Ovis aries: one gene and its partner. The protein of the gene in region 1 binds, or shares a complex with, the protein of each later gene. Links are inferred from orthologs where the notes say so. Each region holds a gene or a part of one and is shown in the gene's direction. Other genes may lie near its edges.

What was found.
Region 2: the proteins of GTF2E2 (region 1) and GTF2E1 are in contact, whole or in part, in a crystal structure (PDB 5GPY), measured with the Homo sapiens proteins. The link is inferred for Ovis aries from reciprocal best matches to the Homo sapiens genes GTF2E2 and GTF2E1. Residues at the interface, in NP_002086.1 of Homo sapiens: Asp159, Gln160, Arg161, Gly162, Leu163, Gly164, Gly165, Leu167, Leu190, Val192, Asn193, Arg194, Pro195, Ile200, Phe202, Cys208, Gln209, Phe210, Ser211, Val212, Asp213, Glu215, Phe216, Gln217, Leu219, Trp220, Arg221, Val223, Thr224, Val225; in NP_005504.2 of Homo sapiens: Arg16, Lys19, Tyr20, Val21, Arg23, Gly24, Phe25, Tyr26, Ile28, Glu29, Leu32, Arg39, Leu51, Leu52, Lys53, Phe54, Asp55, Gln58, Gly68, Asp69, Lys70, Phe71, Lys73, Thr98, Asn101, Val102, Val103, Lys104, Tyr105, Lys106.

What each region holds. Positions count from the first base shown.
Region 1 is NC_056079.1:25,926,093-25,931,452, reverse strand, and holds the start of GTF2E2 (transcription initiation factor IIE subunit beta), read left to right. Parts: upstream 1-2,011; 5' UTR 2,012-2,242; intron 2,243-5,360. UniProt on the Homo sapiens protein: Recruits TFIIH to the initiation complex and stimulates the RNA polymerase II C-terminal domain kinase and DNA-dependent ATPase activities of TFIIH. Both TFIIH and TFIIE are required for promoter clearance by RNA polymerase.
Region 2 is NC_056054.1:186,276,925-186,282,384, forward strand, and holds the start of GTF2E1 (general transcription factor IIE subunit 1), read left to right. Parts: upstream 1-1,709; 5' UTR 1,710-1,941; coding exon of another isoform or gene 1,942-1,955; 5' UTR 1,956-2,134; coding exon of another isoform or gene 2,135-2,160; 5' UTR 2,161-2,482; coding exon 2,483-2,529; exon of another isoform or gene 2,530-4,722; coding exon of another isoform or gene 4,723-4,760; intron 4,761-5,460. Other genes in the region: RABL3 (rab-like protein 3), read right to left, coding at 1,449-1,494.

The sequences.
Region 1 (5,360 bases):
GTTTATCTTCTGACTTCCTTGCATGCTGTCCATCTGGTAAATCTAGTTCTGTCAAAGCATGATTCTCTAATTGTTAAAATCCTGTCTCAAGTGATTAGTAAGGAGCATGTATGTATCCAAGTTTTATTCAGTTCGGTTCAGTCGCTCAGTCGTGTGTGACTCTTTGCGACCCCATGAATTGTAGCTCGCCAGGCCTCCATGTCCATCACCAACTCCCGGAGTTCACTCAAACTCATGTCCATCGAGTCGGTGATGCCAAGTTTTATTAAACCCTAGCAAAAAACGAAGACCACTCAAATGAGAAGAGAGATCACATCCCTTGCTACAATGTTAAGCAAGAGAGTCAGCCACCATCTCTTGCATTTAGCAGAGATTCAAAGGCAATCGTGGAGCAGGGAAGCTTTATAGAGGGGAAAAAAAGCGGCGGGGGGAGCGCTTCTAGTATGCGCTGGAAGGGGAACTTGGAGGAAGGAGGTCTGAAACAGGGAAGTTGGCAGCCTTTGAGTAAATCTTGACCATTCTGAGCTGATTGCTGCAGAGGTTGTGGCTTGGTTTCTCAAGTGGGCCAGAGTTTTATCAGCATATATGGTCTAGCCACTGTTCATTTATAGGAATTCTCTCATTCATTAAGAAGGAAGCTAGCAGAATGGTAGAATCGATTCCATGAGTAAATTGAGACTTACTGGTAAATTGGTACTTACATAATCACTGGGGAAGGGATGAAATAAAAATAAATTTATACAAAACTGGCTTATGTTTCTCAGACAACGTAATTTTAAGGTTTGGAATTTTTTTTTCAGTGTATGACTGCTCCTCCTCATTACACCTTATCAATTTTTCCTGGGTTATAAAACCTTTGAGTCCCAATAAATTGTTATCCAAATGAAGTTATGTTTCCCGAGGGTGTCAAATGAATATCAAGTGTGTTTATTACAAAATCCTATAGAATGAAATCAATTTTAAAAAGCCATACAGGGACTTCCCTGGTTGCCTTCCAATGAGGGGGCCGTGGGTTCCATCCCTGGTAGGGGAACTAAGATCCCACAGGCTGCTGGGCAACTAACCCCTTGCACCACAACTAGAGCAGGAGCCTGCCTGTCACAATTAGGCCTCAGCATAGCCAAAATAAATAAAATAAAAACGTAAAAAAATACCCACACAACCATCTTTTGGCTTTATTCCCAAGTTTTGATTAAAAATTTTATGTATTATCTCATTCAGTCTTCACAACAATCCAATGAAAGTAACCCATTGTGGTAGTTCAATTATTATTCCCATTTCCCAGATGTGAAAACCAAAACACAAGTAACTTGAGTAACCAGCATTAAGTAAAGGACAGCAATAAAATAGTAGAGCACTGGCCATGCGGTCGCTTCAGGCTGCAGGAGTGAGGCAAGGCCAGCGCCACAATTTGGCATGGTCCAATACATTGCAGGCTGTGGACAAGGGCAGTTGTCTTTTTCGCCGCTTTATTTTTATTTTTACCCCTTTACGCTGCTGCTGAATCCCAAATCCTTTTCTAAGAGAGTTTACAGGGATGGGGGTTCGGAGTTCAGAAACCGGACTTTGCTTCAGAATTTGCCATTGCTGGCGGTGCTGTCTCGAGCCAGTCATTTATTTAGTTTCACTGCGTCTCCTGTTTCAGTTGTGTAGGGAGAGAGCTGGAACAATGTTCTCCGAATTTTAGGTGATGGTGAATAGCATTTAAAGTCGCACCATTTTAGCTGCGGCTACTCAACTCCAGGAGTTGGTGATGGACAGGGAGGCCTGGCGTGCTGCAGTCCATGGGGTCGCGCAGAGTCGGATACGGCTGAGGGACTGAACTGAACTGACTCAACTCCTAATTACGTCCCGCCCCCAATCGTCCTTCCGTTGTCATGGAGATCGGGACGCCCAAGTTGGTAGATTTCCCTCCCGCGATACCTGGGCGGAGCACGGGATGACGCATGCGCGTTCTTGGCGGCCGAGGCGCCGCGGTGCCTACCGGGACTGAGCTCCCGGCCACCCGATCAGGAAGTGGCGGGCGGAGCCGGGGGAAGAGTCGCCGCCTCAGCCGCCGCTTCAGCAGCAGCCGCCAGTGCGAAGACCCCCGAGCTGGCGGGGCAGCGCTGGGCATGCGTGCCGGGCGGCGGAGGCGCTGACAACGAGCCCGAAGCGGCAGCCACGCGGGCGTGGGCGGCTGGTCCAGGCGGAGGCTCTGGGAGGCGGCGGCGGGGCGCGTGGGGCGGCCCTCCTGGCTCAGGTAGGAGCTGCGGACGCCGGGTTTGGGGCGCGGAGCCCCAGCCTGTTGTTCTTCGGGGCCTCCTCCCATTCCCGGGGGCACGCGGCCTCCCATCCCGCGGGAAGCTGGGGCTGCGGTTCCCTGCCCGAAACGCTTAACCCGGTTACAGCCTCTCGGGAGCATTGTTTCTGAGGCCGGAGGTTCAGTGAGCAAAGTTTTGGGTTGGAAAGAGGGGAAATTCGAATTGGAGCGCTGGTCGTGCCTTTCCTGAGCCCCCAAACTTACATTAGCTGTAGCCGCACGGACCAGGTGTGTGGAGTTTGAGGAACCGCGGCGCCCAGCCAAGTAAAGGCTGTGATTTAGGCGCTCCTTCACGGATTTTTTTTTTTTTTTCCAGCTTCCTCTTGGAAACCTAGTTTGGAATGATTCCTAACCTTGAGTTATAATAGTTTTCTGCAGAGTCTAAAGACATTTTCCAAAACAAGTCGCTGCGGTACTTTTTTCACTTCCACTTCTACATTGCTGTCTTTTCAGGGTTAAGCAGTCTCTTATTCTCAGCTTGCCGGCTATTCAAAGCACTATTGGCCCCTGCGAGGCTCAGGCAGGCAAATGAAGCAAGAGAGAAAGAGTTGAAAGGTTGAAAGAAATCAAATGATAAACTGGATAAATGATAAAGTCAAATGATAATATGGGAGGAATGTGGGCTTTGCAGTTAAAAGATTTTCACTGAACTTTTGGCTTCTCAGTGAGGGAACACGTGAACTCACTGAGTTGTGGCAGTGATGTGTGTTTTAATGTAAAACGGGGAAGTTGATGTGTCCTGTTTACTACACAGGACATATGAAACTCTACAGATGCGGAGTAGTCTCATGAGAAAAAGGTGGAAAAGTTAGAGCATGTGATGGTGAAAGACATTAAACCTTCTGTTCTAGGGACCATTGAACTTCACCCATACCACGCAGGTCGCTTTTGTTTTGGAGGCTTTTACCAGTTTTAGGTCTGGAATAAGGAGCACCTGGTTTAGGAATCAATCTCCTGGCGTCCAGGCTGTGTACTTTCAGCTGTGTGATCTTAACTCTGTGTGATAGGATACATACCTGATACCTCATAGAGTTGTGAGGATCAAATGCTGTTAACATCCAGGTCTTTGTAAGGCTTTTATTATGTTAATAATAAATTACATAATAAACAACATAGATTTTATCTATGTTAAAATCGTGATTATAAAAGCCTGGGTTAATAATCTGTCTTTACAAAGTGAAATCAGCAGATGTTTGTTGTTTTAGGCTTGTTCCCCCCCCCTTCCCCCACCACATCATTGGGGAATTCTCCTTTCTTGTTCTAATACACTTTCCCTCCCCCAAGACTGTCTTCTGCCTTCCTCACCTGAGTATAACACTGGGTTATTTCTTTTCAGATCCAAATAATAGTTCTGAAATAACACGTTGGTCTAGCTTTACTACTTAAAAAATCACTTTCACAAACATGTTCTCATTTTATTCTTACAGTTGGGCTAGATGTAGACAGCATTGGTAGTATCCTCATTTTACTTATGATGAAATTGGATTTAGAGAAGTCTAGTGGATTCCCTAGGTCATATTACTGTTAGGGGTCAGAATTTAGGGAGGTCTTAGATTCGAGGTCCAGGGTCAGTGATTCTTCTTTCCTGAACTAAAGTTTGACAAGTTTATTTCTTATCAGTGCTTTTATAAAATTTTATTGAAGTATAGTTAATTTACAGTGTTTCTAATTTCTGCTGTATAGCAGAGTGGCTTAGTTAAACATATACTCTTTGTCATATTCTTTTCCATTATGGTTTATCACAGGATATTGGACATAGTTCCCTGTATTGTACAGTAGGACCTGTTTATCCATTCTGTATAATAGTTTGCATTGGCTAATCCCAAGCTCCCAACCCTTCTCTTCTCTCCTCCCCATCTTGCTTGACAACCACAAGCTTGTTCTCTACAATTGTGAGTCTGTTTTTGTTTTGTAGATGTGTTCCTTTATGTCATGTTTTAGATTCCACAAGTAATGAAATCATATGCTATTTGTCTCTTTCAGACTTAGTGTGATAATCTCTAGGTCCATCCATATTGTGCATATAGACTATTTCATTCTTTTTCATGACTGAGTGATATTCAGTGCTTACATTTTTAACTTTTAGCGTGCTAAGTCACGTTTTATTTATTCATTGCTTTTTAAGCAAGTTGTTGAGTGCTTTCACATTCTCAAATGTAAGCTGCTTACATGCAGGCAAGGATTTATCTTCCAAAACTTTCCAAAGGCTGCAGTGCGGTACAGTGCCCCGCAAACAGAAGACATTTAATAAAGGCTTGTAAAACTTATTAACAGAGAGGCTAGGGCAATTTAAAGATGTTCTTCTGTTTGTTAGTCATTTACAAAATACTTATTGAGCTATCCCATGCCGGAAAGCTTCCAAAGTCTGAGAGTCTCTCTTCTCTCACAGAAGGGTGTGTGGGGTCTGGCTACTTGTCGCTCAAAAGCTAGTAAGCAGGCCAGGTTGGTGGAAAGGAAAGTTTGCTTATTTGAAATAAAGCAGGCTGGGAGAGGGCATATGTCTGTCCAAAGGCCGATTCACTGTGCCGCCCCTCCCTGCCTCCCTCTCCCCCGCCATTGGTGGTGGGGCGAGAGCTTTTATAGATAGAAGAAGGGGGCTGTTGCAGAAACAGCACAGTCAGCTCTGACACTTATCTTCACTTTGGTCATCAGTGGTCTGACCAGCATCACCTTGGCTGCTTTAGGTACAGTTAATCTTCAGTTCCAGGGTCCATTTGTTCAGATTTCTCTGAGGCCAGTTCTCAGAATTGTGGCAGCTTCTGTTGTGGGTACAATCTGGTCATCATGTAGTAACTTCTCCCACCTGGGGTTTCAGTATCTTTAAGACAAGCTCACAGGATATGGCTCAGAATATTATCTGTAGTCATTGGGAAGGAACTAAAGGTCCTTGATTATGCTTAATGACTGCATTACTATTATTTAGTCTCCTTTGATTGTTTCCTCTTGTTTCTTCATTTCTCACTTCTCTGAGTAAATTCGGAACCTTTCCACAGACAGAAGACAGAGGACTTGATGGGGGCAAGGGCCATAGGGTCCTGCTCCGTTTCATTTCCTCTGA
Region 2 (5,460 bases), on another chromosome or scaffold:
AGTACATCTATGATATGCACCAGGCTGCCCTGGTGGCTCAGAGGTAAAGAATCTGTCTGCAATGCAGGAGATGCAAGAGATGCGGGTTTGATCCCTGGGTCGGGAAGATCCCCTGGGGTAGGGAATGGCAAACCATTCCAGTATGTTTGCCTGGGAAATCCCACGGACAGAGAAGCCTGGTGGGCCACATACAGTCCACCGGGGTAGTAAGGGTCGGACACGACTTATCGACTACAACACCACCACCACCTCCACCACCTCCTGAAAAGCAAGGTTGTCATCTATTCCAAGTTTTTACGAATATTAGGAATGGAGGCTAGGAGAAACAGAAAGATAGTGAAGGGGAGAGAGAAACACAGACTTCAATTCCAGTTCTCAAGTGTCCAAGGTAAGAATTTTAACACTAGGATTAAGCTGGGCTCAGCATTGTTCTAGCTGCTTCACAATATGGCCTCTATCTTAAATTTTCTATTTCTTACAGCCTAGATCCAACCAGTCCATTCTAAAGATCAGTACTGGGTGTTCTTTGGAAGGAATGATGCTAAAGCTGAAACTCCAGTACTTTGGCCACCTCATGCGAAGAGTTGACTCGTTGGAAAAGACTCTGATGCTGGGAGGGATTGGGGGCAAGAGGAAAAGGGGACGGCAGAGGATGAGATGACTGGATGGCATCACCGACTCGATGGACATGAGTTTGAGTGAACTCCGAGAGTTGGTGATGGACAGGAGGCCTGGCGTGCTGCGATTCATGGGGTCGCAAGGAGTCGGACACGACTGAGCGACTGAACTAGAACTAGCACATAATAGGTTTTCAGTTAAGATTAAAGAGAACGAAAAAAAGAGAAGTGCAGCTGAAAGTAAAACAAGACTACCACCTGTTATTCTATGAAATAGTATGGGTTGGTGTTTTAGATACGTGGACTTGCAGCTCAAACCAGTTCTGTCATTTACAAAGTAAAAACCATAAATCATACATCTCTCCACCTCGCTTTTATCATTTGTAAAATGGTATAATAGGACTGATCTCGGGATTAAATGAGTTAATACCTGCAAAGTTTGGAACAGTGTCAATAATACTTGGGACAGTGTCATTCTTCCTAATGCATGTTTGATTTCCTTAACTAAAATCTCCCAAAGGCATCTGCGCTTGTCTCAGCCCGGCGCTCAATTCAACACTCAGTATCTGCGCATCTTGCCCTGGAAACCGACGTAGAAACCTGCGAAAGCAGAGAAAAGGCCCCGGGTCCGCGGCCCCCACCCGGACGACGCTGCCGCTCCGTTAAATTGAGCAAAGTCCTCTGGGAAGTGTAGTCTTTAAGACTTAAGAAGGAATTCAGCCACGAGCCGAAATCAGTTAGTCGGTGGCTGGATGGAGGGAGAGTGAAAGGGGAGGATTTTCGGATAACTCAAAAGTGTCGGGAGCCCCAGGGTTGTGTTAAGACGCTCACCTGAGTCTCCCAAAACCAGTACCTTCACTCGATCCAGGGACGCCATCTTGTCATCGCCTTCCTGAGGTTAACGCCTACTCCAGGATTATAGGCCAATCAGAGCTGGGTTTGAAAGGCAGTGCCTTCAATGTTATTGGCCAATAGGAGCGTGACTCTTGATTGAAGGCCTCACTGTGCCGATTGGCCCTCCTAGTTGAAAGTAGCGGGTGGTTTCTAAAGCTGGTCGCAGGAATAAAGCGTTTTCTTTGACGCACAAGTGGCGTGGCTCGGATAAGCCGGTAGTTGAGGCGCTGAGGGAAGCTGTAGTGGGAGTGTTCGAGGATTCGCTTTGGTAAACCTTGTTCCCTGTTTCTCGGTTTCCTGGCCAGGCGCCGCCTCTTAGGGTGCCTTCTCTTTTTCGCTCCTTTCTTGGCTATCCTCCTCCCCCTTAGCTACTCTCTTGATTCGATTCTCTTCTTGGTCTTCCAAAGAACCAGTGACCGCGGAGCGGCCCATGTGCGACCTCGGGTAGGACGGGCTTGACTGCGCCGAGTGTGTCCTCAGCTGATAGAGTCCTAGGGAATTTAGGGTGTCGGGGTGTCACAGTGGGAGGAGGAGAACGTTACCTGGCGCGTGGAGGCCAACTGATCCGGAGGTTTCGCGGTATTGTGCCACTTTATGTACGAAGGCATGGAGAGTACCGTGAAATGTGGCAACCGAGAAAGCCAGTTGGGTGTGTAAATCCAAGTTTTTCTGGAACTGGAATAGAAGTAAACTGAAATAATCTGACAGGACTCCCTACATCCACTCCTTCCATTTTTTCTTTTACACGCTGCAGTCAGCATAAGCCCTTAAAAACACGAATTTGATGCTGTCGCCTCCTGTTTAAAACCATTTGAAGTTTAAGAAGAGGATTTCCAATACCCTGTCTTTTTCTACTCTGGAAGCCGCAGTAAAGGAAGTGAATTGAGGGGAAGCTGGGTAGGCATATTTGAAGAACAGGTGCTTAGCCGACCTATTGAAAGTTTTGTGGGGCACTTGACCAGCTGTGGCACATGCTGGAAAGTCAGTGGTGGACAAGATCAAGCCCCTGGTCTCCGAGGTAGATATGGAGAAAGTATGTTCACTATATTCTGTTCACTGTAAAAAAATGAGGGGAGAGAACTGTGGGAACTTGGGAAAGGGGGCTCATTTAATCTACTAAGGGGAACCTGAGACGGTGTCTCTGAGGAAATGTCATTCAACATGTGAAGGATTGTTAGGAGAAGGGACTTTGGGCTTAGCTGTGGGGGCATAGAGAACAGCATGTGCAAAGGCCTGGACGTGGGGAACGCGTGTATGGCTGGTGGAATTGGAGAATGCCTGGAAATGAGACTGAGGAGGATAGACCAAGTGCGAAGAGTGCATTCATTTCATCTTTGTTTCTCCACCTCTGTGCCCAGTGTTTGTATGATTGTAATACATATGGTTCAAAAACAGAACCAACTTACCTTTGGGGCTCTGGGCTGGGTAGGGTCATAGGTGAGGCTGAGAGGTAACTGATGAACTCTGAGGCTAAAAAAAGAGAAGCATGGGCTGGTCCCCAGAGGTCACACACTCAGAAGTCAACAGAGGCCAATCCAACTCCTTCCCTGTTTAGAAGTGTCAACTGCTCTTTGTTTCTATGTGGGAACATGGTCACATTTTCCCCCTCAGATGTTTCCAATTTTCAAGACTCTGAAAATTGAAATCTCATGATTTTTAATTGTTGACCAGTAATTCAGAAAATTTTCAAAACGTTCTTTGAATCAAGTGATGTGGTAGATGTTGCCAGTTTGAGACCTCTGACCTCAGTATTATGATATCCAGAGATTGAGGAGATTCAGTATAATTAGGTGAGTAGAGGCGACTTAGCAGGAGCAGAGGCAGTTAGGGGAGAACACATGGTCAGGAAGGAGGATTTTAGAATGTAGAGATTTTGAACAAGGTGATTCTTTGCTGAGCTCCAGTTTCATTTGTCCAGTTACCTCCTGGGTATCTTCACAGTAATATCCTGTGGTATTTCCTCAAAGACAAGCAGCTAACACTGATTGCTTCATTTCTTCCAAATCTGTTTCTCTTCAGGTGGTAATGTACTTCTCATAGTAGTACTTTTTTCTTCCAGTTACAGTGGCTTAAAATGAATAGCTGTATTTTATTGTTTAATAGGTATAATGTTTCAGTTTTACAGGATGAAAAGAGTTTGGAAGTGGTTGGTGATGATAGGTGGATAACATCAAGAATGTATTTAACATTACTGAACTATTACTTAAAAATGCTTAACTGGTAACTTTTGTTATGTATATTTTATCGCTATTAAAAAACTGGGGGGAAAACCCCAAATAGCTATTAAAAATTTTAAAAATACTCGATTTCCAGTATATTATTGGAATATATTATTGGGGCCTTTTGATTTTGTTTCTCTAATAAGTTTCATTCATCCTGTCCTCTGGTAATTTCTTCTCTTCTGTAGTATAAGTCTGATGACTATAGCTTTTAATATCAGTACTTCCATATGAATTGTCTCATTTAATCTCACACATCAATGCTATGAGGAAGGCACTGTTAATCTGATGAAATGGAGGCTGAGAATTTTCCAGGGTCATAGGCTAAGAAATGGTGGAACTGGGATTCAAAGCCTAAATCTATTGGAGTCCTCATGTCACTCCCTTTTTCAAATCTTTAGTGCACCCTGTGATGTTTCAGGCAAAAGTAACAGACTGAATGATAAGTAGTACAGGGTTCTTCCTATGTGCGATGTGCTTTAGTGGCGGTGTGTAGTAGCCAGGTACCCAGTTTGTTGGTGGCAGTAGTCACGGACTTATTCTGTATATTTGTCACCTAAGGAGCTTTAAAAAAAATCAGTATGATGCTTAATCTGGCCCTCCCAGACCAGCTAAAACAATCTCTGGGAATGGGTCCAGAGTGGATATTTTTAAATGCTCCCTGGGTGATTTGGCTTTACAGCCAGGGTTGAGCGTTGTTGGCCTGGAAATGGAGTATATGGGGTAGAAGGTCAGGGAGGGGAATACAATAGTAGGAAATAATACTAGAAAAATAGGTTATCTTCATATTTGTCTGAGATCCTTTGGTCTGTTTCTGAAACCACATACTATGTTCTGCCAGTTGTTGAGCATGTAAAACATAACCCCCAAAAGTAGGTTCAAGTACAACATATAGACCAAATTGGAAAGGAGAACAAAATACGTCTCTTAGTATATTATGATACTGCTTTGGTGTGGGCCCAGACACTTGCTTGGTCTCCTTAAGCCTTGGAATGACAGAAAGCCTCAAGGACCACAAGTTTGAATCTAGGTGCTACTTTGTTATCTCTTATATTTATTCATGCCTGAGTATTTATAATCCAAAATAAATATTATAACTATTCCCTTTTATTTTTCCTTTATTACAGGTCAGGTATTATATCCCTTCCCCTGTATGTGTATGTTATTGGCTATTTAGAAATACCTTTATAGTACTGTGGATATAAATATATTTCTTATAAAAAGGTATTAAATCTAATAAGGTTAATAACTACTGATTTTAAATAAAAGGGTCAGGAGAAACTAGTATTAATAACAGTATGATTCCCTGTTGAAACAGTTCAATAGGATGTCTGTTAGAAATTTTCTTGTAGTGTAGGGACACATTAAATTGATATTCAAGCACTTTGTTAACAAGTGCTTTCTAAGCACGTTGGACTTTCCTGGTGGCTCAGATGGTAAAGCATCTGCCTACAATGCGGGAGACCCAGGTTTGATCCCTGGGTCGGGAAGATCCGCTGGAGAAGGAAATGGCAACCCACTCCAGTAATCTTGCCTGGAAAATCCCATGGACGGAGGAGCGTGGTAGGCTACAGTCCATGGGGTTGCAAAGAGTCGGACACGACTGAGTGACTTCACTTTTTTCACTCTAAGCACATTACATTCTCATTAATTCACCACAACCTCATTGAGGCAGTTGATATTATCCTTATTTCTCAGGGAGTAAAGTGTGCCTTGAAGTTGTTAAGGAA